2 linked regions of the Mus musculus genome follow. The protein of the gene in region 2 purifies or fractionates together with the protein of the main gene of each other region. This does not show direct contact. Links are inferred from orthologs where the notes say so. Each region holds a gene or a part of one and is shown on either strand. Other genes may lie near its edges. The genes, in order: Neurl4 and Zcchc10.

Region 1 (15,379 bases), about 17 Mb from region 2:
AAATCTGTCTCTGTCACTTAAGACTTTGTGTGATTAGTTGGGCATAGTGCTACATGCCTTTAATTACAGCAGAGACAGGCAGATCTCTGTGAGATCAAGGCCAGTGTGATCTACAGAGCAAGTCACAGGCCTGCCAGGGCTACACAGCGAGACCCTGTCTACACAAAAACCAGTGTGACACTGAACAAGTTCTCTGACCCTTCAGTTCCCTCATCTGGGAGACAAAAAAGCGAGGGGCAGCGCACGCCTTTCATCCAAGCACTCAGTGGGTGGATCTCTGAGTCTGAGGCCAGCTGGTCCAGAGTGAGCTCCAGGACAGCCAGGTCTACACAGAGAAATCCTGTGTCTTTGTCAGGGTTTCAATTCTTGCACAAAAGCAAATTGGGGAGGAAAGGGTTTGTTCAGCTTACACTTCCACACTGCTATTCATCACCAAAGGAAGTCAGGACTAAAACTCAAGCAGGTCAGGAAGCAGGAGCTGATGCAGAGGCCATGGAGGGATGTTACTTACTGGCTTGCTTCCCCTGGCTTGCTCAGCTTGGTTTCCTTCTTTCTTTCTTTTTAAAATTTATTTATTATATATAAGTACACTGTAGCTGCCTTCAGACACAACAGAAGAAGGTGTCAGATGCCATTACAGATGGCTGTGAGCCACCATGTGGTTGCTGGGAATTGAACTCAGGACCTCTGGAAGAACAGACAGTGCTCTTAACCACTGAGCCATCTCCCCAACCCCTCAGCTTGGTTTCTTATGGAACCCAGGACTACCAGCCCAGGATGACACTACCCACAATGGGCCATTACCCCCTTGATCACTAATTGAGAAAATACCTTACATGGATTCTCCAGATCTCATGGAGGCATTTCCTCAAGGGAGGCTCCTTTCTGTGTGATAACTCCAGCTTGTGTCAAGTTGACACACAAAACCAGCCAGTACACCCTGCCTCAAAGATGGTGTTAATAAATGTACAGTATGCTGATTCTATCAGACATGGACATTCTGCTGCAAGGTTGGGCCTTTTCAAGACCCTAGGTTTTGGGACCAGCAAAGTGGCCCACTGTGTAAAAGTGTTTTTCACACATCCAGTCTGACAACCCAAGTTTGACCCCAGAAACCCTAGCAGAACTTATTATGGAAAGTTCCTCTAACCTCGGACCTCCACAGGTGTACCATGTTAACCAAATAAACCAACAGTGAGTTTTTATTTGTTGTTGTTGTTGGCTTTTTCTTTCTTTTTTTTTTTTTTTTTTTTTTTTGTTTCTGAGACAGGGTTTCTCTGTGTAGCCCTGGCTGTCCTGGAACTCACTCTGTAGACCAGGCTGGCCTCGAACTCAGAAATCTGCCTGCCTCTGCCTCCCAAGTGCTGGGATTAAAGGCGTGTGCCACCACGTCGGGCAATAGTGAGTTTTTAAAGCCCTGGTTTTGTTTTGTGTTCTGAAGCAGGCTCTCACTTCGTAGAACAGACTGTGCTTGATTTTGTGACCTTGCTACTTTAGCCCCTAAGTGCTTGCTCCCAGGAGCACAGTTCCTTGGGTTGCTCTGTTCCTCCTCTTGCTTTGCCTTCCCGGGTTATTGTGTCTGGACATCCCTCCCGCTCTCCTGGGCTCCCAGAGCAGGCCCAGTCTGGACACGCAGCTCCCAGCACTCAGATTCCTGATGTTCTCTTTATTGTCCATTAGAGTGGAGACAGGGAAGGCAACCCTCACCCCACTCCTCGTTGACTACATTTTCCAAGGTCTACGTTCTTTTTTCTGAGTCCACTGGAGCCGCAAGCTTTCATCTAGAGAAAGAAAAGGTTAGGCTTTCTTGCAGCAGGGGTACGCTCTTGTCCATGTGACCCACAAATCTCTAGAACCTACCCACTTAACCCCTCTGCCTCCCTGGGCAGTGCAAGTTACCCCCTTGCCTTGGCCCAGGCTCACGTCTGCGCCCATTCCAGCTTGGAGGGTTCTGGTTACTTCCATGTTCCTTTTCTGAGCTCCCTGGACTTCGGCACCTTGGCCCCTTAGCCCAACAGTTGGGCGTCACCTGTGACCCATTGACTGTGAAGGACATAGTACTAACTAGAGAGGGGTGGGGTGGCAGAGGGGAGTCAAGGAGGAGGCATGGAGCCCTTGGCTGATGCTAGGCTGGAGGGGATCTCAACCCCTCTGAGCATCACTCGGACCTGGTCTCTATAATGTAGTCAATCAACGCCAGGATGTTTAAGACCTCTTTTACTGCCTGTGGCTGATGCACTGACTTAAAAGGGATTGGGAGGGTGGGAGATGGGAGCTTGTTAAGAGCCAGGCCTAGAGAGATGGTGCCCTTGCCAGGTTGCACTAGAGTTAGGGTTATGCTCAGAAAGCGCTAAATGGTTTTGTCATACCCAAAGACGCTTCCAACAGTACCTGGAGTGCCTTTCGGATTCTCAGTAACCCAGGTCAAACCTGAAGGACCTGGAAGTAACAGGAGGACAGTTTGTTCCGTCCTCCCACCCCACCCCCCAGGCTGTCCTCCCCGGGCCATCCTCCCCAGGCCATCCTCCCCAGTCTCTCACTATCCTGTTCTTCATCTTCTATATCCTCTCCGAGCTCTGGGCGGGAGCCGGACCTCAGATACCTTCCTTTGCTGTAGTATTCCTTGCGCTGTAGATTAGCCAGCTGCCCCATGGAAGAGTCTGAGGCTGATGGGAACTGGTTTCTATAGGTAGCAGAATCTGAAAAAGTACCCCAGACAATCTTGAGCCTGTGGCCACCTGCTCTGCCTTTGAGTCAGGCCACTACCGGATTAGAGTTTAAGTTCTCATCTAACACCCCTCCCCCATGTTAAAAAGCCTTCAGTGAACCCCCATCCCCCAAGGGTTCTCTTAATCTCTCTGTTCAGTTTGTCTCTGGAGGCCCCCCCCCCCCCAGTGGAGACTCAGCTCCAGTTGTTCCCATTCCTTCCCTAGCGTCCCCTCCAGTCACTGCCTCTCTGTCAGACGAGCAAGACTGTAGGCCAATGCTCTCTGAATAAATCAGAATACAGCAGAGATGTGAGGAGCAGAGAGCCAAAGAGAACAGATTTGAAAACATGTAAATTTCAAGGAGATCTGGGCTCTGGAAGAGTCTCTTGTCTCCACTCTGCAGCCCCAGGAGGCCCCTGTCACTAACCGTTGGTGCTTAAGACATGGCTATCAGTCATCAGGACAGTGTCATTTTTGACTCCTGTGGCCAGTCTTCCTGCCCAGCCTTTCTCCACAGGCCTAGGCTTCAGGTCTGTCGCCACAGCTTGATTACTGCTGCTGATGCTGGCACTAGCCCCAATGCTCTCTTCCTCAGTGGGCAGGTTTTTTGGGGACTTTAGGAACTTCCCTTCACTGTAGTGTATCTTTCGGTGCTTGTCAAAATCACTGGAGTCTGTGGGCCAGCGTGAAAGCTTAGCTTTCCCCCAAGGTCTTCACAGAAGGGCTGCCCCCCACCCAAGCTCCCCTGTCCATCGAGACCCACCCCACGTCTCACATACATGTCTTGGCAAAGTTGTCTGTGTCCTTTGAGTTTTTGTTGTCTCCGTACTGGAGGACCTTGGGGAGGAAATTGTCCATTGTGGCAAACCTGAAGGGGAGGGAGACTAGTTGGGGGTACAGAAGGGAAAAAAAATGATGGTGGGGGTAGGTGTTGGGTGGGGACCAAGCTGCTGATTGCCTAGATCAGCTTTGGTTAGGCCTGAGGAGGTAGGTAGTACCTACCATTTTAGGGTTTGAGGAACAAAGCTATCTGAGACTGCCTTCAAAGGTATGAGGGCAGAGGGCACAGCTCAACTAATCTCTGAGAGGGCTCTCACCTCTCTGCCACTGACTGAGGAGTCACCTTGAGAGAAGATTCTGCAGATGGGTCCTCATCGGTGTCCTGCAGCCTGCAGAGGAGGAGGAGGAGGAGGAGGAGGCAGTGTTTGTGCCCCGAGGCTTCTCTGCCTCTTCCTCATAGCCACATGTTAGAATACAGTTTAGGCTCAAAAGCTAGGGCTTAGCACCTGTGGTAGGGGGTTCTGGGCTCATCCGCCTTCATAAAGCCATAGTCTTTGTCAGCAGGGTGGTAGGTAGCCAAGATGTTCATTTCATCCCAGCGCTGAGACTTCCTAAGGTGAGGGAAGGAGCAAAGGAGGAAGCTCTTCTGGCGACCCTCTCCTAACAGAGAGGTCTCCTTCATTCTTCCCGGCATTCAAAAAATTCTTCTTATATTCCCTCGTAGAGGCTAGGATGGGAGCCAGATACCCAGTGATAATCAGTGCTGTGTGGCCAGGATTCCTGTGACACCTGCTGCCCTCTCCAAGTCATGGAACTTCAGATTTCCAACCTATTTGACCTCACCACCTCTCCCTAACCAGGGCCTTGGGACTCTGTTTTTTTCTTGGCTTCAGCTCAAGGTGTCCTGAACTCCTCCCTCCCTCCCGTCTCAGGGCTGCTGGCTAAAAGCTGAGTTGCTGCTATTTAAGCTCTCACCTTTCTTACTCTCTAGCCCTCCTTCCCTCGCTCTTTCCCCCTGCCTTTCTACAATAAAGCTCTAAAACCATTAAAAAAAAAAAAAACAAAAAAACAAAAAAAAAAAAAAAACCAGCTGAGTTGCTTACTTCTCCGAACCGGGGGGTTTCTTTATCAAAATGGAGCTGCTGTTTTTTAGGATGCTCCGAGGCCGCTCCGTGAAAGATGTCCCGGAGTGTGTACTACTCTCCGAGCTGTACACTTTAGCCTCCTCCGGCCCGGGGGTGGACGCCTTAGTTGCACCAGTTCCAGTGCCAGGGGATGTGCTGGACCCAAGGCTTGCAACCTCCTGAAGTTGCGGAGCGGGTCCTGAATTGAGGGTCACTGCCCCTTCAGAGGGCTGAATTGGACCAGGACTGCGGACTACAGGGTTCCCGGAATGCAAGAGGGAGCCAGGACCGCGAAGCAAGGCTACTCCGGGGGGTAATCCGGTGTCTGTTTGCATACCTCTGGCACTGCCAGGTACTGCCCTAGAAACCCCCCCAGGGGATTCTGCACTGAGGCCACTAACAGGTGCGAGAGACTCCGGCTTCTCCATAGCTCAACTTGGTAACCACTTCAATTCCACTGCCTACCCTTCTAGCTGCACATAGCCCTGCCCGTTGGCCCTGCCCCCATCGCGGCGGGCGGTGGGCGCTGGGGGCTCCGGGTCAGACCGGACCTCCTCTGCCTCTTCTCCCTGGCGCTGAGGCAGGTGAAAGGTCGACTATCAGACTTCAGCCTGGGAGTTCCTCCGCACACCCTTCCCTTATTGTTACACCCCAAGACTTTCTTTGTCTCTGTAATTTGTTCCCGCCCTTCTCCATCACCGCCCTTCTCCGAATCAACCAATCACAGTCAAGGGGCCTGGCCAGCGGTGAGGAGCCTTGTGATGTCACAGCCCCGCAACACCAGGGAGAGCCTGAGTAGGGCTGGGTTCTGTTAATAGCTCTCAGGTAACCTCTCAGAGGTGTCCGCTCTGTCCCTTGAGATTACCCAACGGGACACCGCTAGGATTTTTATTAGTAACTTTTAAGATTTAAGAGTTTCATTGGCACAGAGCTCAAGTTGGCCTTGAAATGTGTGCGGGTAGGAGAGGTGTGATGCAAAGTCTGTGGGGCCGGAGCGGGGTGAGGTGCGAGACTGGGTCAAGGAGAGGTGTGATGCGTGATCGGATTGCGACATTTCCGGCCTCGGCACTGTGAAGGGCTGAGACTTGGATTTATAAAACTACTTTTTCTCTGTCCCGAAGATAGCGTTTACTTCCATCGCCTTAAAGCGTGCGGTGTTAGGGGAAGCCACCAGCCCTTGCGTTAAGGCGAATGCTCTAATATGTCGCTTTTCCCTAACAAGGGTTGGGTCCAAGGCGCCGGGCGACGTCGCAAAGTGTATCTGGGCGCCAGCACGCCTTCGTCGCAAAGACGCCTGCGGCGGGCGATTCTGCCATCCACTGTCGCAAAAGCAGCCCAAATCTTCCCGGCTCTCGTAGCCTCTGTCGTCCCGCTGGGCCGTAAAGCAGTCCCCCGACCCCGTCGTCCTTCCGTTCCCCTCGTGAGAGACCTCGGTTCCTTAGCTGCGGACGCTTCAGTGCCGTAAAGCACACCAGGCCCCAGCCCCCCGGCCGTATTCCCCCAGGGCGTCTGGCCGCCGCGGTTGCCACGGTGCCGCCAAGCGCGGCTGTCGCGCGGCCGCGGTATCAGCGGCGATGGCGGCGGGGTCGGGTGGGAGTGGGGGCTCTGGGGCGGGCCCCGGGCCAGGACCGGGGCCCGGCGGGGGTGGGGGCCCTGGCAGCAGCGGACCAGGCCTGGGGTCCGGCGGGGGTCTCGGCGGTGGCGGGGAGCTGCACCCGCGCACCGGGCGCTTGGTCAGCCTGTCGGCCTGCGGGCGCACGGCGCGGCGGCAGCAGCCGGGCCAAGAGTTTAACCACGGGCTGGTGCTGAGCCGAGAACCCTTGCGCGATGGACGCGTCTTCACCGTCCGCATCGACCGCAAGGTGCAAAGCCGGGGCAGCTGAAACGAGGTGTGGAGGGGAGTGGGAGGGGACGGGAGGGAGAAGCGGTAGGACTGCCAGAAGGTCTGCATCTCCAACCGAGCCTCCAGGTACCGATAGCGAGCCGGCACACTGTAGTGCACCGGGGAAGAGAAAGGAGAAGGACACGGAGCAGACACATTCATTCTGAAGGAGCATTCGTTTCCCGCAGGACAGGGAGCCAGGGTCCGGTGGTTAGAATGGCTAGTGAACACGTCTAGCACAATCTCTTAGGGATGGAAGACTGACAGGTGCCCGAGATGGAAGAGTAGAGAAATAATAAAAAGCGCAAACTGTTGACAAACGTCCCAAACCAGAAAGATAGATGAGGAGACATGCGAAAAAGGGAGTGTATGTGACTTGCTTGACTCCAAAACGAATTTGGAAAGAGAAGAGAATGAATTTGGGTGGAGCTTTGCCCTACTAGAGTATTGGGGTTGGGAATGAGAGTGATGTAGGAGAGCGAGCATTGTGGACCTAAGAAGCATGGGATTGGAGTGGCTGAGGAGCTACAGAGACTGGGAAGTAAGAGGAGATCGGGTTAAAACCAGGGCCTTTAACCAGCTTGTTCAGTGGGTAGAGGGGGTGATGTGCTAAAACACGTGTCAGCAGACACAGATGCTGAGAGCCAGTGGGTCCTGGTAGTTATGGAGGCTAGTTCCAAAAATTATTTGTGTGTCTATGTCAGTGGCCTCAGAGGACAGGGTGAGAGGCACACGGTGCTCTGGAATGTGGCCTCTGGTGATGGGATTTCATACAGAAACTCTGTCCACCACCCTCTCATAGGTCAACTCCTGGAGTGGCTCCATTGAGATTGGAGTGACAGCACTGGATCCCAGTGTGTTGGACTTCCCGAGCAGTGCCACCGGGCTGAAGGGAGGCTCCTGGGTAGTGTCAGGCTGCTCAGTGCTGCGGGACGGGCGCTCTGTGTTGGAGGAATATGGCCAGGACCTGGACCAGCTTGTCGAAGGGGACCGTGTGGGTGTGGAACGCACAGCCACTGGGGAGCTCCGGCTCTGGGTAAACGGGCGGGATTGTGGTGTGGCAGCCACAGGCCTGCCTGCTCGTGTCTGGGCTGTTGTGGACCTTTATGGCAAGTGCACCCAGATCACTGTGCTGCCCTCCGAGCCAGGCTTCAGCCCTCCCACTCCTGTCCCCACACCTCCCCTTGAGCCCTTGGCCCCTCCAGAAGATTCAGCCCTGTTGGAACAGGGGACCTCTGTGGATGAAGGTGAGAACACAGCTTCGGGGAAACATGAGTTTTGGCTGAAGAAATGGGGCGAAAGCAGTCACAAGTCAGCTGGGGGAGGGAAGGGACCATTGAGCCCAGAGCCATTACAGGGGAATAGAGGGGTTAGAAGAGATGGTCTCCTGACTGGGCCCTGAAGCATGAGCTGAACCCTATTCCCCTCCCATCCTACCTGGTCCCTAGCCTTCATGGTGTCCCCAGCGCAGGCACGGCCGGAGACGTTTCCTAACAGCCTTGATTCGCATAATGGTGAGGGCTTCGGGGAAGGCCAGGGAAGGGGAGTGGGTACTGAGGCGGACAGGGTGGGATCTAAGAGACGGTAGGGAGAAGAGGGTCCCAAGCTGGCTGTGGGGAAGAGAGCTCTGTCTTGACTTCCTTCTTCTTGCTGCTACAGACTTTGCCAGTATGGAGCTGTCTGAGGTGGTGAGCAACGCCATCCTGTCTGCCTACAATGGGGGCCTCCTTAATGTGAGCCTGAGCTCCCCACCAGCAGGGGACGGACTGGCATCCAGTGGGCCAGCCACTTCTCCCATCCTCACTTCCAACGATGCCCTGCTCTTCCATGAGAAGTGTGGGACCCTCATCAAACTCAGCAACAACAATAAGACAGCAGAGCGCCGGAGGCCCCTGGATGAATTCAACAATGGAGTTGTCATGACCAACCGCCCACTTCGGGATAATGAAATGTTTGAGGTATGTAAAATCCTGGAGTCTGACTGTGCTTCCTGCCAAAGATTTGGAGCTAAACGTAGGGATTGATCTTTGGCGGCAATATGCCAACAACTGGTGAAGAACCAAGGCTTTGAGGGCCTGTCTTCTGTTGTTATATTTCCTGGACCTGTCTACTCTCACTCAACCCCAGATCCGGATCGACAAGCTTGTAGACAAGTGGTCTGGTTCCATCGAGATTGGTGTCACCACCCACAACCCCAATAGCCTGGAGTACCCAGCCACCATGACCAACCTGCAGTCAGGTACCAGCTCTGGGTAGGGGTAGGGACACAGGCTTGGAGTTGGTGAGATCCAGACAGCCTTTCCCTAACCAGGTGTCCATCTTTACCAGGCACCATCATGATGAGTGGCTGTGGGATCCTGACCAACGGCAAAGGCACTCGGCGGGAGTACTGCGAGTTCAGTCTGGACGAGCTGCAGGTGAGTGTGGAGCACAGCAGCCTGGGCAGTCCAGGGGAGCCCGGCCACCTGGGCCACCAGGCAGTGTCCCTTTCTGCATGAGGCTTCTTCTGAGGAGGCAAGGCCGTCTGGCAGGAGCTAAGGTATGCTCATTAGTAGCACCTTTTTTCCCTTTGGTGCTAGGAATGGAACCTAGGACCTTGGACACGTGTGGCAAGTGCTCTAGCACTGAGTTACAGCTCTAGCCCAATAGCACTAAGTAGGCCGAGATTTTAGAGCAACAACAACAAAAAAGATTGTTGTTGTTGTTGTTGTTGTTTTAATTTATTTATTTATTATATGTAAGTACACTGTAACTGTCTTCAGACGCTCCAGAAGAGGGCATCAGATTTCATTACAGATGGTTGTGAGCCACCATGTGGTTGCTGGGATTTGAACTCAGGACCTTTGGAAGAGCAGTCGGCACTCTTAACCGCTGAGCCATCTCACCAGCTCCAAGATTGTTTTTAAAATAGTTTAATTTAGGGCTAGAGAGATGGCTCAAAGGTTAAGAGCACTGACTGCTCTTCTAAAGGTCCTGAGTTCAATTCCCAGCAACCACATGGTGGCTCACAACCACCTGCAATGGGATCCGATGTCCTCTTCTGGTGTGTCTGAAGACAGTTACAATGTACTCACATAAATGAAATATTTAAATCTTTTTAAAAGAAAAGTTTAATTTAGTACCTACTTTACATTGGGCATTTAGGAAATGTGGAATTATTGTGTCTGGAAAGCAGGGACCCAGCTCCTGCCCAAGAGTGGCTTTATTTGAAATTCTTCAGTGGGTGGTCTCCTGTGAAATGGGGTGGCAGAAAGTGCCCAGGACTGCTGGAACCTGAGCCTGAGTGTAGCTGAATTCCAGACTAGGGTCTTTCTTCTTTGGTTAGGAGGGTGACCATATTGGCCTCACGAGGAAGTCCAACTCTGCCCTACACTTCTTCATTAATGGCATCGATCAGGGTAAGGTGGCACACAAGAAAGACTCCTGGCTCAGGGCCTTTAGTGGGTCATACCTCACCTTTCCTTGTGGTGCTTGCTCTTCCTGTTTGACTCTTCTTTCATCCTGTTCTGCTACAGGCGTAGCTACTCCATTGACACCACCAGTTGTATATGGTGTAGTAGACTTGTATGGAATGGCAGTGAAAGTGACCATCGTCCATAATAACAACCACAGTGACCGTCTCCGCCGGAACAACGCTATCCTGAGGGCTCTGTCCCCCGAGGGTGCTCTTCGTCGTGCTGCCCCTGCAGCCCAGGCAGAACCTGAACGCTTGCTCTTCCATCCTAACTGTGGCCAGAAGGCAGCTATCACCCACGAAGGACGCACTGCCCTGAGGCCCCAGTATGACCCATGGGATGGGAAGACACCTGCAAGGGGGCCCTAATAGGATGCGGGGGCACTGAGGTGGGAACATGGGAGGGTGTCTGTTATAGGAAGCCCTGGACAGAAAGGGGAAGACTTCTGGGAGCAAGAGATCTGGTTGGTTGTCTTGGGGCAGTGGGTATCAGACTAATATTCCTAGTTTAAGCCTTGACACACTCAGTATGCTGAGAGCTGAGTCCTCACTTGCTGTGTCCCCAGTGCCACTGATGACTTCAATCATGGCGTGGTACTGAGCAGCAGAGCCCTCCGGGATGGAGAGGTGTTCCAGGTGCGCATTGACAAGATGGTGGACAAATGGGCTGGCTCCATTGAGATTGGTGTCACCACCCATAACCCTGCCTACCTCCAGCTACCCTCTACTATGACCAACTTACGCTCTGGTGAGCCCCACGAAGGGCAGGGTCGATGCAGGGTGCCAGAGAAGCAGCAGCTCCAGGGTTACAGTTTGTTCCTTGTTCCTCATTATCTGCTGCCACTGCTGTTCCTACAGGGACCTGGATGATGACTGGGAATGGGGTCATGCACAATGGGACAACCATCCTAGATGAATATGGGCACAACCTGGACCGCCTCAAGGTGAGAGAGCAGTCATACTGATTGGATATAGTTCTGGGGGAGTCAGGGAGGCTTGGTAGATGCAGGGCCATCTCAGGCAGGAACTCTGCCTGACTCCTCACTCCAGCCTCACTTTTTCCAAGGCAGGGGACACCGTGGGTGTGGTGCGGCGGGAGGATGGAACGCTCCACTTCTTCGTCAATGGGATGACTCAGGGCCCTGCTGCCTGGAATGTCCCCCCGGGGGTCTATGCTGTTGTTGATCTCTACGGCCAGGCTGCCCAGGCTACTATTGTGGATGACGTGGGTGAGGGCCCGACAGGGCTGGGGTAGAGGATTAGGGTGGCCTTGGGAATCCTTAAAGAAACCTAGAGACTTAATGGGTGATATCTACTATTGCAGAGGTGCCTCCAGTCTCTGAGCCACTCCCTGAAGGAAACAACCAGATGTCTCCCAGTTCTCCATCCTCAGCAGCTGGGGGCTCTGACCTTCGCTTCCACCAGCTGCACGGCAGTAATGCAGTCATCACCAATGGTGGCCGCACTGCTCTCCGCCACAACTGCCGCAGCGAGTTCAACGATGCCATTGTCATTTCCAACCGGTCAGTCTCTAGATTTTCGTGTCTCTACTGTCCCACTGCCTACTTACGTAGGGCCTTAGTGATCCCCACTCTCCCTGACAGAGCCCTGCGGGATGGAGAACTGTTTGAAATTGTCATTCAGAAGATGGTAGATCGTTGGTCAGGCTCCATCGAAGCTGGTGAGGGACCCTCTGTGCAGGGACTGTAGGGTACAGGATCCCTGGGTCCTCGGGATCACTTCTTACCTTGTGTTTTCTCCTAGGAGTTACTGCTATTCGGCCGGAAGACCTAGAATTTCCCAACACCATGACAGACATTGACTATGATACGTGGATGCTGAGGTTAGGCCGTCTAACCTTGAATCCAGCTTAGCAGGGATGGCTGGAGCTGGGTAATATCAGACAACTAAGCCTGTGGTGGCTATAGGACTGAAAGACTCTGGAACCTAATATCCTTTCTCCTCAGTTCTGAGAATTCCCACCCAAGTAGCCCACAGAGCAGTTCCTGCTTTTCTCTGTGGGAATTCTAGGGACAAAGACAGAACTGGGCCTCAGACTAAGGTCAAGTCTCTGTGCCTGATGTCCATAACACTGGATGGTTTTGATAGGCAGAGACCGAGTAGGGGCCAATTAGTGATGAGGCAGGGAAGCTAAATCCCTCCTCCTGTCTTCTCAGTGGTACAGCTATCATGCAAGATGGCAATACGATGCGCAACAACTATGGGTGTGATCTGGACGCGCTGGGCACAGGTGCACGAATTGGCATGATGCGAACTGCCAAGGGTGATCTGCACTATTTCATTAATGGACAGGACCAAGGCGCTGCCTGCTCAGGCTTGCCTCCGGGTAAAGGTGACTACTCTGGCTTCCAGCCTGCCCCCCTTTGCTCAGATGGATCAGGCCCTCAGGCTTCTGATGCCTTCTTTCCTACACAGAGGTGTATGCAGTTGTGGATCTCTATGGCCAGTGTGTCCAAGTGTCTATCACCAATGCTACCGGCCCCATGGACAACAGCCTGGCCACCAGCAATACTGCCACTGAGAAGTCATTCCCCTTGCATTCCCCAGGTATTGCTTAAGGAGTTTGTGAGTAGGGGGGTACTTATATCTGAGACACAGAGTCTCATAATCTCCTTGACTCCCAGAGTCTAACATACCATGTACTGGGCATCTTGAGTCTTACTGTGGTGCAAGGTGTCCAGAGGTCTTGAGTCATGGCAGATGGGGCCTTAGCTTCACCAGCAGCCTGTCTGAAGGTAGTCACCTAACCCTACCCCTTTACCAAACATCTCTCCACAGTGGCGGGTGTGGCTCACCGATTCCATAGCATGTGTGGCAAGAATGTCACTCTGGAGGAGGATGGCACACGGGCAGTCCGTGTGGCTGGCTACGCACATGGCCTCGTTTTCAGCACCAAAGAGCTCAAGGCTGAAGAAGTTTTTGAGGTGGGCTGCAGAGAAGTAGAAGGGGCTTTACCAGCCCGTCAGACAGGACCACCCAATGTTTGCTTTCTCACAGGTGAAAGTGGAAGAGCTAGACGAGAAGTGGGCAGGCTCCCTCCGGCTGGGGCTGACCACACTTGCACCAGAGGACATGGGGCCTGGAGCGGGCAGTGGTCCAGGGCTGCCTCCTTCCTTGCCTGAACTCCGGACAAAGACCACCTGGATGGTGTCCAGCTGTGAAGTGAGGCGTGATGGGCACCTCCAAAGGATGAACTATGGCCGGAACCTCGAGAGACTAGGGGTGAAGCACCTGGCACTGGAGCAGGCGGTGGGGGCTAGGGGTGAGAGTAGAGACAGATCACTGAGCTGGCCTTGTTGAACCTTGGATCTAGGTGGGAAGCCGTGTGGGCATTCGTCGGTGTGCAGATGACACAATGCACATCTTGGTAGATGGAGAAGATATGGGGCCTGCTGCCGCTGGCATTGCCAAGGTAGATCTAAGAGCTTCTTTGAATTTGGGGAGGTACTAGTTGGTTGGAGTTCTTGTGCTGATTTCTGTTTTTTTTTTTTTTTTCTTGTGCTGATTTCTGACTTGCTTCCTTGGTCTGTTCCCAGAATGTGTGGGCTGTGTTGGATCTGTATGGGCCAGTACGCAGTGTGGCCATTGTCAGCTCCACAAGGCTGGAGGAACCAGAAGGCACCCAGCCGCCTTCTCCCAGCTCAGACACTGGCAGTGAGGTCGAGGAAGATGATGAGGTCGAGGAGCAGGGGCTGAGAGTAAGGCTGCATTAGGGCCTGCTGGGTTGCTACGCTACCAGTTACCAGGGTAGTGGGATCTATCTCCTGGTCCAGCAAAGTTCATAGTTGAACTCTGTGTGCACTCTAGTGTAGTGGGTAAAACCTGCTATTGATATCCTGTTTAGCTCACTCTGTATTTCCACTCCAGGGCCAGAATCAAGTGGGGATTGTGCCCACAGCCCTTGAATTCCTGGAGAACCATGGGAAGAATATCCTCTTATCCAACGGGAACCGCACAGCCACTCGGGTGGCCAGCTATAACCAGGGCATCGTTGTCATCAGTCAGCCCCTGGTGCCCCATATGCTTGTTCAGGTGTGCCTTTCTTCCTGCCTAGCTTATTACTACTCCAGGGTGAGAGGCCCTTTCTCTTGCAAATGAAAAGATAGGTAAGAAATTAGCCAGCTGAGCTAGTAGTGGTGGCACATGCCTTTATTCCCAGTACTTGGAAGCAGAGAGACGCAGGCGGATCTTTGTGAGTTTAAGGCCAGCCTGGTCTACATAATGAGTTCCAGGACAGCCAGGCCTATGTAGAGAAATGCCTCAAAAGAACAAAAAACCAAACAGAAGAACAAAAGCCAGTTGAAGGAAGTCTTTAGGAACAGACCAGGGTTCAAAGAGAAAGGATGTTGGGGGTACAGTTCAGTGTAGAACATTTGTTTGACGTGTACAAGGGCCTGGATTCTGTTCCCTGCAGCAGTAGAGACAGGGAAGGAGATATCAGAGTTGATAGTTTCTGCTCTCTACAAACATCAAGAAGGGCAGTGTATCAGGCAGGTCACACTCTGTACAGAGACTGATGTGGGTAGGTGGGTGGCCTCTGTCTGTAAGCTGTGCATGTAGAATAGTCCCTTCTCGTGCAGGTGCGAATAGACTTCCTGAACCGACAGTGGACATCTTCTCTTGTTCTGGGAGTTATCACCTGCCCACCTGAGAGGCTTAACTTCCCTGCCTCTGCTTGTGCCCTTAAACGGGCAGCCTGGCTCCTGCGGGGCCGGGGTGTCTTCCACAATGGTCTGAAGGTGAGGAGGGACCCAGGAAGAATGAAGTGACCCAAGCCTCTGAGTGGAGAGGAGCTGGCCAAAGGGAGACGTGCATGTCCTTACCCGGACCACCTTTGGCCTATTGCTTCCTCCTGTGCTCCTGCCATTGAGAATGTTAAAGTTGGAAGTAAAAAGGGGGACTCTAGGTAAATGAATTGGGAATAGGGCCTAGGCAGTAGGCAAAGATACAGGCAAAGCTTAGGGACTGGCACCTAGAAAGAGTGAACGGGCAGGACAGATGCTGGTGTGGTGGTAAGGAGCTGATGTCTAAAGATAGTAGGTCTTTCCTCTCAGATCTGTGAGAAGTTTGGGCCAAATCTTGACACCTGCCCTGAAGGCACCATCCTGGGACTGCGGCTAGACTCCTCTGGAGGGCTTCATCTCCACATCAATGGGGTGGACCAAGGGGTAGCTGTACCAGATGTGCCCCAGCCATGCCATGCACTGGTGGACCTCTATGGACAGTGTGAGCAGGTTAGTGGCAACAGAGGAGAGGAAAAGGGAGTCCTAGGAGCCTGGCAAGCTTCTGGTCCATAGAGGGATCCGGGGACCTGTCAGTCGGTGGCTGACTACTTTGCTCTGCAGGTGACAATTGTGAGCCCTGACCCAGGGACTGCCAGTGGGAAGATTGCTGGAACTCAAGGGGACAT
Region 2 (15,581 bases):
CATATCCTGACTGAGAACTGATGTCTAAAAAAAAGTAACTGGTAACTGGAAAAATACACATAAGAGAAGAACAAGAAACCAGGAGGAAAGGAAGGATAAAGCCCCAGAGCGTGGGGCTGGAGAGAAGCCTCGGCAGTTATGAGCACTTGCCGCTCTTGCCTAAGACCCAGGTTGCTTCCCAGCACCCACGTGGCAGTTTCTACCTACCTACCTACAGCTCCAGTTACTACAGGGGGGCCTATGCCCTCTCTGGTCTCTACATGCTATCACAGAAATGTGGCACATGAACTCACGTAGGCACGTGTACACACACACACACACACACACACACACACACACACACACACACACAAATAAATCTTAAAGAATAAAGAAAAAAAACAACAACAAAGAAAAAACTTGAAACTTACATCATTCCAATGTTCTGTATGGGGTTCTTTGATTTTATAGATTCAGAATAGAAAAATCAGAATTTTCTGATACAAACATAAAAATAGAGCACATTTATTAACAGTAGGAAAACCATTTATAATAACAATGCATTAAATCTCACATAATAAACACAGGCAAAAGAGAACAAGAAACTTCTTGATATTCTGATACAGTACAGTCAAAGACTGTCCCATACACACTGTAACATATACCCACATAAAGCATTCATTTCAAAGGCAGGAAAAAAATGACTTTTGCCTGTCAATGAAATAGATTTCCTGGTTTTCAATTTTGATTATGTACTACAGATAGACTTCAAATATTTAAAAAAAAAAGTTAAAAACAAAAGCTGAGCATGGTGGCACATATCTTTAGTCCCAACATTAGAAGATCTCTCTGAAATCAAGGCCAGTCTCCTCTACATATCAAATTCAAGGCCAGCTAGACCTACAAAATGAGACCCAGTCTTTACAAAAAGAAAAGCAACAGCAAAAACCCATATTCATTCCTAAAATAAACATCTTTATATATGTAACATCTTTTTTTTTTAAATATTCTATACAATAGTAAATACTTGGAAAGTTCTGGATTTTATTTAACACTTCTGGCCGTCTGGCTTGCTTGCTTGAGCAGGTTTTCAGTTCCCCTGGGAGTCACAGGTGCTTTGGGTCCACCGTCCCGGTGTACAGAGCTCTATTTCTTCTTCTTTTTCTTCTTCTGTGGCTCATCATCAGAGCTGCTCTCAGAACTGCTGCTGCTGCTGCTGCTGGACGAGCTGGAGTCCGAGTCCGAGGAGGAGGAGGAGGAAGAGGAGGAAGAGGAAGACGAACAGGCCGAGGAAGAGGAGGAGGAGGAGGAGCTAGAGAGGCTTTCATCTGAGTCACTGTCTTCTGAAGAGGATGAGGCGGATGTCTCACTCTCTGATGAAGACTCACTGGCCGAACTGTCACTGCTAGAGGTACTGGAACTCGTGACACTCTTAGACCTATGAAGTCACACAAAGTGCACACATGGGAAACTGACATTTTAATTCGGAGCTCAGAGATGCTCAGGCTGAGCCTCTACAGCCAGCCAGCCCTAGGTCTGATGTTTGGGGATTGCCTAACTCTGAAACCCTTTACAAGCTCTGTCATTTCAGCAACTCTCATAAGCTCATAAGGTGTACCTCCCATACTACGTCATACTGAGCATGCTGGCACAAGCCCGGGATCCTAGGAGATAGAGGCATGATCCTAGGAGATAGAGGCATGAAGGTCAGAAGGTCAAGATCACCCTCAGCAACACAGAAAGGTCAAGGCTAGTCTGTCTGTCTGTCTGTCTGTCACACACACACACACACACACACACACACACACACACACACACACTCTGTGGCTGTAACCCTAGCACTTAAGAAGCTGAAGTATGAGGATCACCGTGAGTTTGAGACCTGCCTGGGCTACAAAGTGAGATCTAGTCTCCAGAAAATAAAACAAGAGCTAAAGAAAGGGAAGGCTCAGCATTTAGGGGCCTTACTGTTCTGTCTGTCAGAGGCCTGTCAAGGAATTCGGATCCCAGCACCCATATCTGGCAGCTCAAAAATACCAGTAATTTCAGCTCCAAGGGATCCAATGTCCACTTCTGTCATCTAGAGGCATCCCTATACACACATACACATAAAATACATGTAAAAACAAAACAAAAGCAAAACCAAACAATGAAAGAACCCAAATAAGCCAGGCAGATCTCTGAGACTGAAGCCCGGCCGGTCTACACAGCCAGTTCCAGGCCAGCCAGGGCAACCGTGCCTTGACTAAAAAACCATTTAATTTTCATTTAAGTCTTTATGTGGTATGTGTGCACACACAAGTACATGTCAATATGCATACATGTATGTTTGTGTACGAAGAGCAGCAGTCATCAGGTGTTCTCCTCAGTCGCTCTACACTTTGGAACGTGGAGCACACTGACTCAGCTGGGCTGGGTGCTCAGTGAGTCACTGGGTCCACCCATCTTTACCTCCCCAGCACTGTGGCTGCACAAACCCCTGCCGCTGCTGCTCCCAGCTATTTGCTTAGGTGCATGGCAAGCACTTTACTAACTGGGCCATTTTTCCAGTCCTCTTTAGCAAAGTCTTGTAGGGACAAGGATTTTAGAATGTTATAGAAAAGGAAAAACGGAGCCAATAAATTCCACATAAGAGGAAAATATTTGAAAACACAATGAAAATCAAAATTTGCAAACAGGGATTGGAGAGATGGCTCAGTGGTTAAGAGCACTGACTGCTCTTCCAGAGGTTCAATTCCCAGCAACCACATGGTGGCTCACAACCAACTGAAATGGGATCCGCTGCCCTCTTCTGGTGTGTCTGAAGACAGTGACAATGTCCTCACTTATATAAAACAAATAATTTTTTTTTTTTGAGACAGGGTTTCATTGTGTAGCCCTGGCTGTCCTGGAACTCACTCTGTAGACCAGGCTGGCTTCTACAAATAAATCTTAAAAAAAAAAAAAAATTGCAAACAAAGACTTCAGACCGGCCTTTCTCCCCCAGGTAGTGTCATTGAGTCACCTACCTCTTCTTCTTCTTGATCTTTTTCTCTATGTTGGTCTCTCCTATGCTAAGGGACAAAGGGAAACAAAAGCTCCGATTAATAAAGTGACCACACTCTGCGACACCTCTGCCAGCCTCAGACCTGCTCTGTTCTTCATCACATTTGCTCAAGGGCACAGGGTTTCCTGCTCTAATCAAGTCAAACATTTTCCTCCCGGGACAGGATGTACACAGTGCATGTGGCCGACTCTGTGATAAAACACACGTTATCTCTTGTACATCAAAGTCTGTTAGTAGTTAAGGTGATGGAACGCACAGACTTGTTTCTTTTTTTGTTTAGAACTTTAGTTACGCATTGAACAAGCAAGGCCAACAACAGCACAACAGCTGTAATCTGGCTTCCTAGAATTACACATGGCCATTTCACACTTTTTTGTTTTTTTTTTTTTTTTTTTTTGTTTTTTTGAGACAGGGTTTCTCTGTATAGCCCTGGCTGTCCTGGAACTCACTTTGTAGACCAGGCTGGCCTCGAACTCAGAAATCCGCCTGCCTCTGCCTCCCAAGTGCTGGGATTAAAGGCGTGCGCCACCACTGCCCGGCCCATTTCACACTTTTACAAAGAACAATTTAATTTCTGCACAGCTTCCAAAATTTTAGTTATTGTTTTAAAACAAAGACATGGAAACTCAACACTGCAAGACTGCTGTTCCCTGAGCCCACAGAGAGCAGGGGAGCGTGAGCAGCGTTTCCGCCATCAGCGCACACAGCCCAGCTTTCAGGCTACAGAATGCTCCTATCACTACAATACTCGGTGCAGGTTCAAGTCCAGGGCTGGTACATGCAGGGCAAGCACTCTATACCTCATACAATTTCACTTTTTTCTTTTTCAGATCAACTCTAAGTAGTGAAAGTTCTTCTTTGTCTTCTTTGAGACAAGGTCTCACGTAGCCTAGGCTAGGCCTGAAGATGCTGCTGAACGCTTGACCCCTCCGCTTCCCTTACACAGCGTCACGGATGGATCTCAGAACCTTGTGCATGCTAGGCAAGCACTCTGCAAACTGAGCTACATCTCAGCCCGACTTCTACCCTGTGCTTGTACCTCAAAGGTTTCCCAAATGAGTCTCTGCTCCCTGATGAGGAGAGTAGGCTCGATCCTGCCACAGACAGAGCCAGCACGGGCTTCACTCTAACCAATCTCCTCAGAGAATTCTCCTTCAAAGCTTGCGGAGCTGTGTCCATTTCCACTTTCTGAGGTATAACAGAAGGTGATTCTGTTAGCTGGGGGCAGGCACTGCCTTGTTTTGTGAGACCACATTACGGAAAAGCTTTCAGTGGTAGGGTCAAACATTAGACCATCCTCAGTGTCCAGACTCCAGCCCTGGCAGAACTGAATAATGAGTTAATTCCAGACAGGGTCTGACCACACAGCTCCGGGTAACGTTTAGTTATGTAGACCAGTTAGACCTTGAAATCATAGAAACCTACCTGCTTCTGCCTCCTGCATGCTGAGATTAAAGGTGTGAGCTACCATACTGGCTGAGTAGATATTTATCGTTAGAATCTGGCAAAGTTTAGTATTAACTCAGTTTCTAATTTTAATTTTTACATTCATTCTTGAGAAACATGATTTGTTCAAAGAGATGAAGTTTTGATACAGAATTTATCAAAGCCACACAATGTACTCACACACACTCACACACACACACACACACACACATACAGAGGAGGACGGGGGAGAACATGTGTGGTACTGGAGGGCTCATGCAGGCTAAACAGGGCCCTGACCACTTAGCTGCATTCTTAGCCTAAGGTGAGAATGCTTGTTCTCTGTCTTTCTACCTGCTGCTCTGCTTCTTATCTTCCTTTTACACTCCCATCCCCGTATGGCCCTTTCGACTTTCAAGTCTCATGAGCTCCATACCTGCCCTGTTTCTCTCTCTCTTAAAGCCCCCCCCCCCTTTCCCCACTGGTGATTCTATTTGCTTGCTATGGAGCAGCAATAAAGATGGCAGTTAAAGCTTCTCTGTGGTAGGATTAGGGCCATTTGGGTACATGCCCAGAATACTCTAACTGGGTCACATGGAGACTACTTAGGGTTTGCTCTGTTTTGTTTTTTACTTCTACAGCCCACACTGATGTCCACAGCAGCCACAGTGCCAATTTACACTCCCATCAATAATGAGTAAAGCTGCTCTTTACCACAGTCCTTGCCCTTTTGTCTTCCTGACGGGTGGCCACTCTGTACTGGGTGAGACGGAAGATAAACCTAGTTCTAACTTGCTTTTCCCCTGTGGCTAAGGATGTTGGACACCTTTAAAAAAATATTCCGCAGCCATTTGTAGTTTTTGTAACTATTAAATTTCTTAGTCCAAGTTTTAAAATATTTCCATGTATAGTGATTTTAGTTCTTTGCACACTGTAAATATCAGTTCTTAGCAGGCAGAGATCCTAGCCCAATTGGTAGGCTGGTTTGTTTTGTTTCTCACTCATTTAGTGATTTTACTATCCAAAAGATTTTTTAATTTTATAATGTCTTTTTTGTCAATTTGAGAAAGGGGTGTTTTTGAAGATAGGATGTCACTATAGAACACTGGCTGACCTCAAATTAAGAGACCCACCTGCCTCTGCCTTCCAAGTGCTATTAAAGATCGGACCACCATACCTGGCCCTATTTGTCAACTTTGGAGACAGAGTCTTCTATAGTCTGGGCTTGTTTTGACTTACTATATAGCCAAGGATGACCCTGATACCTGACACTCCTACTCCATAAATGCTAGCCCGGCTCACTGGCCATGTGAGGATTTCCCTGTCTTGTGAGAGTGGGACCAGTGCCTACGGGACATCATCTCTCACCGTTCTCAACAGGACCTTTGGGTGGGACTAAGGGCCTCTCCAGATTTTGAATTTATAAGGTGTAGGGGAGGAAGTCAAAAAAAGAAAACCAAGAAACAAGTTCTTACAGATTCCTTTTTGGAAAAAGCATGCATTAATTCAGTGATCTATTATTTTTTAAAATTTGTGTGTGTGTACATGCTCACATACATATAGGTACATATATGTGAGCATACAAAGAGGTTAATAATAGCTACCTTATTAGTAGAGGTTTGAGGTTTAAATATGCTAAGACTTATAAAGAGGACACATAGGGCCTGGACACAGAGTGGCCACTCATTAAAAACCAGCCGATAGCATTGTAAGCTGGATGCGGCGGTACACACCTGTAATCCCAGCACTCAGGAGACTGAGACAGGAAGACAGCAAACTTGAGGTCAGCTGATTCTGTAAATATTTTTATAAGTTCCCCTGGATATTACATGTAAACCTACCTTTGCAGCAATAATCTATTTTCTTTTTCTTTTAAAGCTTTCTTCAGCTCTGCCGTTCTCGAAGGTCTGTGTAGGTACTTTCTTTTCCCTTTGCATTCATAAGTCCAATGTCCAAATTCCAAGCATTTCTGACATCTTACATGTTGCTTATTGGCTTCACTACAAAGAAAATAACAGAATACAAGCCTTAAGTTTTGTCTTGGGACACTTTCTGACCTGGAAGAGCATTAAAGTATCACGTGATGTTGACTCTAGCAAGCACACAAACGGTGTTCAAAGCGTGCAACCTGGGGCGCAACAGGAACTGAGTCTTGCTCTTCTAAGCCCAGTCCGGTATTTCATGCTTATAGTCTTTCACTTTGCAGGCCAATGTGGGAGGATGGCTCTGAGTTTAAAGTTAGCCTGAGCTACAGAGCAAGAGACCCTGTCTCAACAAAGCAAAATAATAAAAACAAAAATTTTGGGCTGGTGAGATGGCTCAGTGGGTTAGAGCACCTGACTGCTCTTCCGAAGGTCCAGAGTTCAAATCCCAGCAACCACATGGTGGCTCACAACCATCCGTAACGAGATCTGACTCCCTCTTCTGGAGTGTCTGAAGACAGCTACAATGTACTTACATATAATAAAGAAATAAATCTTTAAAAAAAATTTTTTTAAGTTTTTCCATTCCAATAATCATGTATTCGGACCAACATTTTTAGCTCAGAAGACAAAGGATAATGAAGGTCCTTATTTGTTGTAATGCTAGATATCAAACTCAGAGCCTCCTTCACAAATGCTCTACTACTGAGCCAGACCCCCTAACCCATTAAAACACTTTTAAGGCTGGGAAAAGGGTGGGTGGATAAGGTGTTTGCTGTAAGCCCAAAGATCTGACCCCCAACGACTTGTCCTCTGACCTCTACTCCTATTCACACATAAATGAAAAAGCTTGTTCATTTGGTTGGTTGATTCTGCTTTTGATTTTTTTCCCTGGAACTCCATCTATAGACCATACTGGCCTCAAACTCATAGATCTACCTCTGCCTCCCAAGTGCTGGCATGTGCCACTGTGCCTGGCTATCATTCTTTTTAACTTACTAATAAAAAATGGTGGTGGTGAGACAGCTCAGTGGGTTAAAGACACTTGCCACACAATACTAGGATTAAAAGTGTGAGCCACCATACCCAGCTTGGCCTAGCCTTGAACTCACAGACCCACTTGCTTCTGCCTCCTGAGTGCTTAGATCAAAAGCACAATCCACCAACGTCAGGCCCAACACTCGGGTTTTAAACTCATAAACCACAGCTTAGGTCAAAAGCAAAGTGCGAAGCAATGCAGGTATTAGATGTATAAACTGTTTCCTTTCAGGTTCGTATTATGACTTTTGATAGGTCTGAGAAATACAACATGACATGCATGTCACACAGCCATGCAGAGTGGGTATGACATTACTGGAGGGTTTTAAGATGAAGTCTTATTATGTTGCCCAGGCTGGACTCAAATTCATGTTCAAGTAACTGGTCTCCGCCCCTTACATCGCTTACACCACTGAATGGGTAGTTATTGAGTTGGTTGGTTTTTTTTCTTTTCGGAGACAGGGTCTCCCTACACAGCTGAGGCTGGCCTGCAGTTTGCTCTTTAGATCAGGCTGGCTTTGACTCAGTGCTACTCCACCTGATTTTGCTTCTCCAGTGCTTGGATTAAAGGCATCTGCCACCAGGACTGATAGTTACTGAGATTCAAACTGGGCATGGTGGCACAAGCTTTTAATCCCAGCATACTGAAGGCAGTCAGATATCTTGAGTTCGAGGTCAGCCTGGTCTACAGAGTGAGTTCCAGGACAGCCAGGGCTACACAGACAAATCCTGTCTCTAAATCTGCCCAACCCACCCCCAAATTCTAACAGACTCATAGCAAATATACCATTTCCTATCTTTCCCCAAATCCTCTGCTGACTCAGTCCTTTCTATGGCTTTTAGTCTGTTTTCAAATGTCACCCCTCACAGATGAATTTCTAGAACTGACTTGAACTGGGCCTTTTGCCTTTCCTCACCACAGCCTCTTATCCCCTTTAAAGCTTAACTTTGTTTTGTTTTTAGAGAGACAGGGTTTCTCTGTGTAGCCTTGGCTGTCCTGGAACTCACTCTGTAGACCAGGCTGGCCCCGAATTCTGAAATCTGCTTACCTCTGCCTCCTGAATGCTTGGATGTACCATCACCATCCGGCTCCTACAAAGCTATTTAAACCACTAGCTGTACTTGTTTAGAGTATCAACAGGTTCCACAATAAAACTGTTAAGCTGCGTAGCTTGAATACATTTTTCTTCAGAGAAACTGTCTGTGAGTGATTGTACTAAAATAATTATTTACAGTGAGAGCTGCAGAAAGTGAAACGGTCGATGGGGAATTAATAGGCATTGCAGACAGGCTTGTTTCTAGAAAGGGCGATAGGAAGGAGGCAGGTACGCTGAAGAGGGAAAAGTTTGGGATCTTGAGAGGGAAGATGTGGGATCAAGCATCCAGGCTACCCTTGACATGTGGACCGGACAGAGGAACACAGACCACCCAACGACCAATTCTTGGATTCATTTCGAACTCTCTTCAAATCCCGCTCAGTTCAGCAGCCTGCGCCCGCTCACTAGCTAGCGGACAGGCGTCTGCACGCCCCCAGCCCTCCTGCACACCCCACAAGCATCTCACTTACGCTTTCCTTCGAGCTATGAGCCGATGCATGGGAGTCGCCATCTTGGAGCGGCTGGAGTCTGCCGCACGGGTTTTTGGGAAACTAGCACCGGTGGGCGGGTCCTTAGAAACCTCTGCGGTCCTGGGCGGGGCCAGACGGGCTCAATTCAGAAGAGGCTAATGGTGGCCACTAGCTGGTTTGTCTTTTCTAATGTGGGCTTGTGTGTTCAGTATGAATAGGGTCTTGAAGGGTGATCTCAAACCAGGGGTCTGTAATACATATGCAGTGGAATTTTGTAGTATTCAAAAAATCCTAAAAAAAAAAAATCCTGTAATCCAGGATTTTGGAGGCTGAGGCAAGAGGATTGCTATGTTTTTGAGGCCAACCTGGGAAAACTTATGGCCCTAGCTCAAAACCAAACCAAACAAAACCAAAAAGGCCAGGAAGTAATGGCCCACATCTTTAATTCCAACACTTGATGGGATTCACGGCCAGCCTCATCTACACAGGGAGTTTCAGGAAAACCAAGGCTGCACACACAAACTGTCTCAAAAAACAAAACACCAAAAACCCCAAGAAATTACAGGTGTCGTCATGATGACTGGATCATTCTGATTTTGTTGTTGTTTGGTTGGTTTTTTGTTTTGTTTTGGTTTTTTTTTTTTTGTTTTTGATTTTTCTTTCAAAGATCTGCGTAGAGGATTTTTTGGTCTTTTTTTGAGACAGGGTTTCTCTGTGTTGCCCTGGCTGTCCCGGAACTCACTCTGTAGACCAGGCTGGCCTCGAACTTGTAAATCTGCCTGCCTCTGCCTCCCAAGTGCTGGGATTAAAGGCATGCGCCACCACTGCCCGGCTGTGTAGAGGAATTTTAATCCAGCAACATGGCTGCTCTGGAAAGGAATCAATCATAAGTGATGGGAGTACAGACATGAGTTCCAGGCCAGCATGGTACAGAGAAAGTTTCAGGTAAAGAAATTTAGTTCCAGGTGTGGTGGCACATTCCTTTAATCCCAGCACTCAGGAGACACAGGCATGCAGATCTCTGAATTCTACTCAGTTTGGTTGAGTCTTAAGAGAGGAGGAGGGGTAAGGGGAGTGGAGAGGGAGACAGGACCAGACAGAAACACCATGTGTTTGCTTGGGATTGAACTCAGGACCTCTGGAAGAGTAGTCAGTGCTCTTAACCTCTGAGCCATCTCTCCAGGCCCCTCTTTTTTTTTTTTTTTTTTTTTAATTGTTAAAGATAACATCTTTAATTTTTCAGGCTGGCCAGAAACTTAGCTCAGGCTAGTCTAATTCCCAAGTTATGACACAAGTTTCTAAAATCAGGATTCAGGATGTAGAGAAAGGAGGACAAGGAGGTTAAGGCCAACCTGGGCTATATAGCAAATATGAGGCCAGCCTGGTCTCCAGAGTGAGTTCCAGGACAGCCAAGGCGACACAGAGAAACCCTGTCTTGAAAAAATTTTTTTTTATATCTACAAAACCAAATCACTCTTCATTAGTCCTCCTCCAGCCCATACCTGACTTATTGCGTTCAGGCATTTGTTTTCCCAGATAAAATCTTTTTAAAACTTCTAATTGATTCTTTGTGGATTTCACGTCATGCATCCCAGGCCTGCTCATCTCCCCATCCCCTCTTATCTGCCCGTCTTCCAACCTTCCCCCCTTCAGATGAATTTCCTGAGTGAAAGTTTGGGGCCTTGAGATGTAGCTCTGTGGTAGAGTTTTTACCCAGTATGTGTGTATTAGGTTCTCTAGAGTCACAGAACTCATGGGTAAGAGAATTTGATGACTTACAGTCTGTACTTCAACTCCCCAACATTGGTCCAAGGATCTAGCAGTAGTTCAGCCCCACGAGGCAAGAAGGTGAAGAAGATAGAATCTTCCTTCTTCCAGTGTTCTTATATAGTCTCCAGCAGAAGGTGTAGCCCAAATTAAAGGTGTGTGCCATCATGCCTGGATCTGGGACTTGCTTTGTCCCAGATGACCTTGAACTCAGAGATCTCCCTGACTTAATCTTCTGGGATTCATAGCCACTATGCCTCAAGATCTCCATGCCAAGTCAGAAACATGTATCTCCCAGCCTCCAGATTAGGATCATAGGTGAGCTTTCCAGTTCTGGATTGTAGTTCATTCCAGATATAGTCAAGTTGACAACCATGAATAGCCATTAATGAAAAGCTCAGCTCAGGAACTTTGGGAAGGTCATGAAACTCTGGCCCTCCGGAAGGGAGAGGTTAATTAACATTTCTCAGACCACAGGGCAGGAACAAACCTGCCAGTGGGGACATATTCTGCAGGACTGACCATTGCTCACCTTCAGACAAGCGAAGTCCTTGTCACCTCATTCCCTAAAGACCAATCAGTTTAAAGGGTGCACTGTTCCACCAATCACATTGTGCCTAGTTGCTGATGCTCTATTCTGCCCCTGGAAAACATATAAAAACTCACCTGAAAGGGTACTGGTGGTCGCAACCTCTCCTTTGGGTCTGGGACGACCCTAGTTCACTGAAACAATAAATTCCTCTTGCTTTTTGTATCGATCCTGGCTCCACATGGTTCACTCAGGGGGTCCCCAGTAAGCTAAGGCTCCCAGGAGTATTGCACTACCATGTGAAAAGCCCTGGCTTCATCTCCCTAGCAACACACACACACACACACACACACACTACAGCATAAAACTTTCAAGGTTCCTACTAAATAATTGTGATGGTTTGAAAAGTAATGGCCCCCAAAGACCCATGTGTATGAATGCTGGCCCATAGGGAGTAGAACTATTAGGAGGTGTGCCCTTGCTGGAGCAGGTTGGCCTTGTTGGAGGAAATGTATCACTGTGGAGGCAGGCTTTGAGGTCTCTTTGTTTAAGGTAAGCCTAGTGTGGCAGTCAGCTGCTGCTGCTTGTGGATTAAGTTTCACCTCCTAGCTGGGGGGATCTGCAACCCTATAGGTAGAACAACAATATGAACTAACCAGGACCCCCCCAGAGCTCGTGTCTCTAGCTGCATATGTATCAGAAGATGGCCTAGTCAGCCATCAGTGGAAAGAGAGGTCCATTGGTTGTGCAAACTTTATATGCCTCAGTACGGGGGAACGCCAGGGCCAAGAAGTGGGAGTGAGTGGGTGGGGGAATGGGTGTGGGAGGGTGTGGGGGACTTTTGGGATAGCATTGGAAATGTAAATGAAATAAATACCTAATAAAAAAAAAAAGTTTCAGCTCCTTCCTCAACACCATTGCGTGCATGCCACCATGCTTCCCACAGTGACGACGATAAGGGATTAAACAAACTGTAAGCCAGCCCCAACAACATGTTTTCCTTTATAAGAGTTGCTGTGGTCATAGTGTCTCTTCATAGCAATACAAACACCAACTAATATTAACAATAATATTAAAACTTTTTTTTTAATAGACAGAGTCTAATTATGTACCCTTGGCTATACTGGAACTCACTGTGTAGGTCAGTTTGGCCTCAAAATCACACAGGTCTGCCTGCCTCTGCCCCTTGTGTGCTGGAATAGGTATGGACCCTGCTCTTATTAATTTCTAAAAAGGTTTTATTTATTTATTTATTGTGTATGTGTGTGAACACAAGTGTGCCTTGACACTTGTGTGGATATCAGAGTACAGTTTATTGTAGCCATTTCTCTCCTTCCACCCCATGAGTCCTAAACTCTGTTGTTCAACTTGGCTGTGGGCAGCTTTGCCCACTGGATCATCGCCCTTCCTTGTTAGCCAGTTTTAAAAGGATTTCTATTAGAGCAAGTACGAGAGTGCAAGAGACAGAATGAGGTAAAAATAAATAGGAAAGAGGAGGCCGATATTTTTGCTGTAATATTTGGGTTGTATCGTTTGAAAAGACTATGAACATTAACTAAAAGTCCTCCTAGACAGTTTAGCCTAGAGGTTAACCACACATGTATCCAAACACAATAATTATGTGTATTCTCAGGGAAAGACTAACCTAATGTATCTGTTTTCCAGAGGTTTGGTCCAGAAGAACAAGGCTAAATTTTGGACACAATGATTTTGTAAATGCTGCTGAAAAAAAAATTTTAAACCATGAATAAGCTACATTTTCTATGTAGCATGAGTGAATACTTAAGTAGATATAAAACAGAATTTCTTTCTTTCTTTTTTTCTTTCTTTCTTTCTTTCTTTTTTTTTTTTTTTTTTTTTTTTTTTTTGAGACAAGGTTTTTCTGTATAACCTTGGCAGTCCTGGAACTTACTCTGTAGACCAGGCTCAGAAATCCGCCTGCCTCTGCCTTCCGAGTGCTGGGATTAAAGGCATGTGCCATGGCAAAGCAGACTCTTTCTGGGGTGGCCTCCTAAAGTGTATTCTGGTTTTATAAGATGCCTTAATAAAAACAGAGAAGAATGGAAAGGCCTGGGGCACAGGTAGTTGCATTTCTGACCTATTATATATTCCTGTGGTTAGGATGAAAGCTGAACAGGAAAAAAGACCAATTTTGGGTTTTTTGTTGTTGTTTTGTTTTAGGTTCTTATTTTGTTATATTTGATTTTTACATAGGTGTGAGGAGCGGGTGTGGCCGTGGCCCCAAGATGGCGCCCGGGACTGCTGCCAAGTCTTATGACTGGCACCTGACTTCATCATATCCCTCAAGATAGCCACGTAGCTTGAGCTGCATTGCGCAGATGCACCACGATGTAAGATCAGATGATGTGACAATGTAGTCCTGAGCCAACGAACTGTGCCTATGTGGACTGGGCTGAGGGGGAGTGGACTGGAGGGGATAAAGGGGGATGGCGGAGAGAGGTCAGCAATTCTTTTTCCTGCACATTGTTAAGTTCCTGAATCAACTGCCTTGAGAAGGACATCGGTTTTGTCGCTTCTTTTCTGCTGGTTGGAGATGGTAGCGACACATAGGGTCGCATGAAGTCCATGTTGGTCTGGCCCTTGCCATGTAGGTGAGGATGGCCTTGATTTCTGGTCCTTCTGCCTCCCTCCCAAGGGATTAGAGTTATGAGCCACTGTGCCTGGTTTTAGGAGAAGACCTTCTTGAGAGGTGAATAGTGCAGTCCCAGAGAGCCCCATAAGTAAGAACACCCCATACCTTATTTCATGTTCTGCTACCTTCCTCTAGTCATTCTCTTTGTTTTGTTTTGTTTTTAGCTGTTTTGTTTTTGCGACATAGCCCTGGCTATCCTGGAGCTCACTGTGTAGACCAGGCTGGTTTCAAAAGCACTCAGGTCTGGCTGCCTCTGCCTCCCGACTGATGGGATTAAAGCATGCACCATGCAGCTCAACATTCTTCCTTTTTTGTTTTGTTTTGACACAGTGTGTAGCACTGAGTATCCTGAAACTCAGTCTGTAGACTAGGCTGGCCTGGAGTTTACAGTGAACTGCCTGTTTTTGTCTTCCAAGTTCTGGGATTAAAGGTGTGTACCACCAGCAAAGGGGCATTGCATTTTACTTTTGCAGTCCCTACAGGTGATATAGCCATTCCTAATACTAAGAAGTTTCTGGATGACCCTGTGAGATCCTGAGCACAGTGTAAACCATCAGGATCAGAAGAAGGTGATAAGGCTCAGCAGACAAAGATTCTTGCTGCCACCCTCACTAAAGGCCCGAGTTCAATTTCCAGGTCCTGTGTGGTAAAAGGAAAGAACTAACTTCTAGAATTCACAATTAATCTTTTCCCTCGAGGTTGGTAGGATGGTTTTTAAATGGGGTTTTGACCCTTTTATTCTTTTATACAACTGGTTAACAGTAACTTCAAGAAACCTCAGTGATGTAACTAGTAAAACTGGGTCTTGCTGGGCGGTGGTGGCGCATGCCTTTAATCCCAGCACTTGGGAGGCAGAGGCAGGTGGATTTCTGCGTTCGAGGCCAGCATGGTCTACAAAGTGAGTTCCAGGCAGCCAGGGCTACACAAAGAAACCCTGTCTCAAAAAAAAAAAAAAAAAAAAAAAAAAAAAAAAAAAAAAAAACCCGAAAAACAAAAAAACAAAAAACAAAACAGAACAAAAAACTAGGTCTTAAGACCAAATTAAGTGAGCTGGTGAGATGGCTCAGCAGGCAAGAGCACTGACTGCTCTTCTGAAGGTCATGAGTTCAAATCCCAGCAACCACACAGTGGCTCAAACCATCTGTAATGAGATCTGACACCCTCTTCTGGTGTGTCAGAAGACAGCTACAGTGTACTTATGTATAATAATAAATAAATCTTAAAAAAAAAATTGAGACCAAATTAAACATTTGCTGTGACATCACTTGGGCCTTTTGTTTTTTTTTGTTTTTTTGTTTTTTTGTTTTTTTGTTTTTGGAGACAGGGTTTCTCTGTGTAGCCCTGGCTGCCTGGACCTCACTTTGTAGACCAGGCTGGCCTCGAACTCAGAAATCCGCCTGCCTCTGCCTCCCCAGTGCTGGGATTAAAGGCGTGCGCCACCACACCCGGCCACTTGGGCCTTTTTATAGCAGCAGACAAGCAGCTGAGTAACCTGGTTAAATAGTGGAGACTAGAGCAGGCTGAACATTTGTTTTGTAAAGAGCAGTGGCCACAGGCTAGGGAGAATTCTTAAAGGCTAAAGACACTTGCTGCCAACAAGCCTGACCTGAGTTTGACCCCTGAACCATATGGTGGAAGGAGCGATTTGACTCCTA

What was found.
Region 1: the proteins of Zcchc10 (region 2) and Neurl4 purify together in Homo sapiens (co-immunoprecipitation; 3 studies listed by BioGRID and IntAct, with this or other methods). This does not show direct contact. The link is inferred for Mus musculus from reciprocal best matches to the Homo sapiens genes ZCCHC10 and NEURL4.

Annotation. Positions count from the first base shown.
Region 1 is NC_000077.6:69,895,712-69,911,090, forward strand, and holds the start of Neurl4 (neuralized-like protein 4), read left to right. Parts: upstream 1-6,104; 5' UTR 6,105-6,186; coding exon 6,187-6,474; intron 6,475-7,296; coding exon 7,297-7,741; intron 7,742-7,942; coding exon 7,943-8,008; intron 8,009-8,153; coding exon 8,154-8,452; intron 8,453-8,621; coding exon 8,622-8,733; intron 8,734-8,822; coding exon 8,823-8,911; intron 8,912-9,819; coding exon 9,820-9,892; intron 9,893-10,009; coding exon 10,010-10,274; intron 10,275-10,514; coding exon 10,515-10,696; intron 10,697-10,806; coding exon 10,807-10,892; intron 10,893-11,014; coding exon 11,015-11,177; intron 11,178-11,272; coding exon 11,273-11,471; intron 11,472-11,552; coding exon 11,553-11,629; intron 11,630-11,712; coding exon 11,713-11,791; intron 11,792-12,125; coding exon 12,126-12,301; intron 12,302-12,384; coding exon 12,385-12,516; intron 12,517-12,747; coding exon 12,748-12,893; intron 12,894-12,966; coding exon 12,967-13,191; intron 13,192-13,282; coding exon 13,283-13,381; intron 13,382-13,505; and 11 more. Other genes in the region: 2810408A11Rik (protein phosphatase inhibitor 2-like), read right to left, coding at 1,723-1,781, 1,900-2,043, 2,392-2,439, 2,541-2,699, 3,136-3,381, 3,488-3,576, 3,806-3,877, 3,995-4,099 and 1 more. UniProt on the Homo sapiens protein: Promotes CCP110 ubiquitination and proteasome-dependent degradation. By counteracting accumulation of CP110, maintains normal centriolar homeostasis and preventing formation of ectopic microtubular organizing centers.
Region 2 is NC_000077.6:53,318,138-53,333,718, reverse strand, and holds Zcchc10 (zinc finger CCHC domain-containing protein 10), read right to left. Parts: upstream 9,031-15,581; 5' UTR 9,019-9,030; coding exon 8,978-9,018; intron 6,451-8,977; coding exon 6,292-6,450; intron 3,033-6,291; coding exon 2,988-3,032; intron 1,418-2,987; coding exon 1,126-1,417; 3' UTR 418-1,125; downstream 1-417.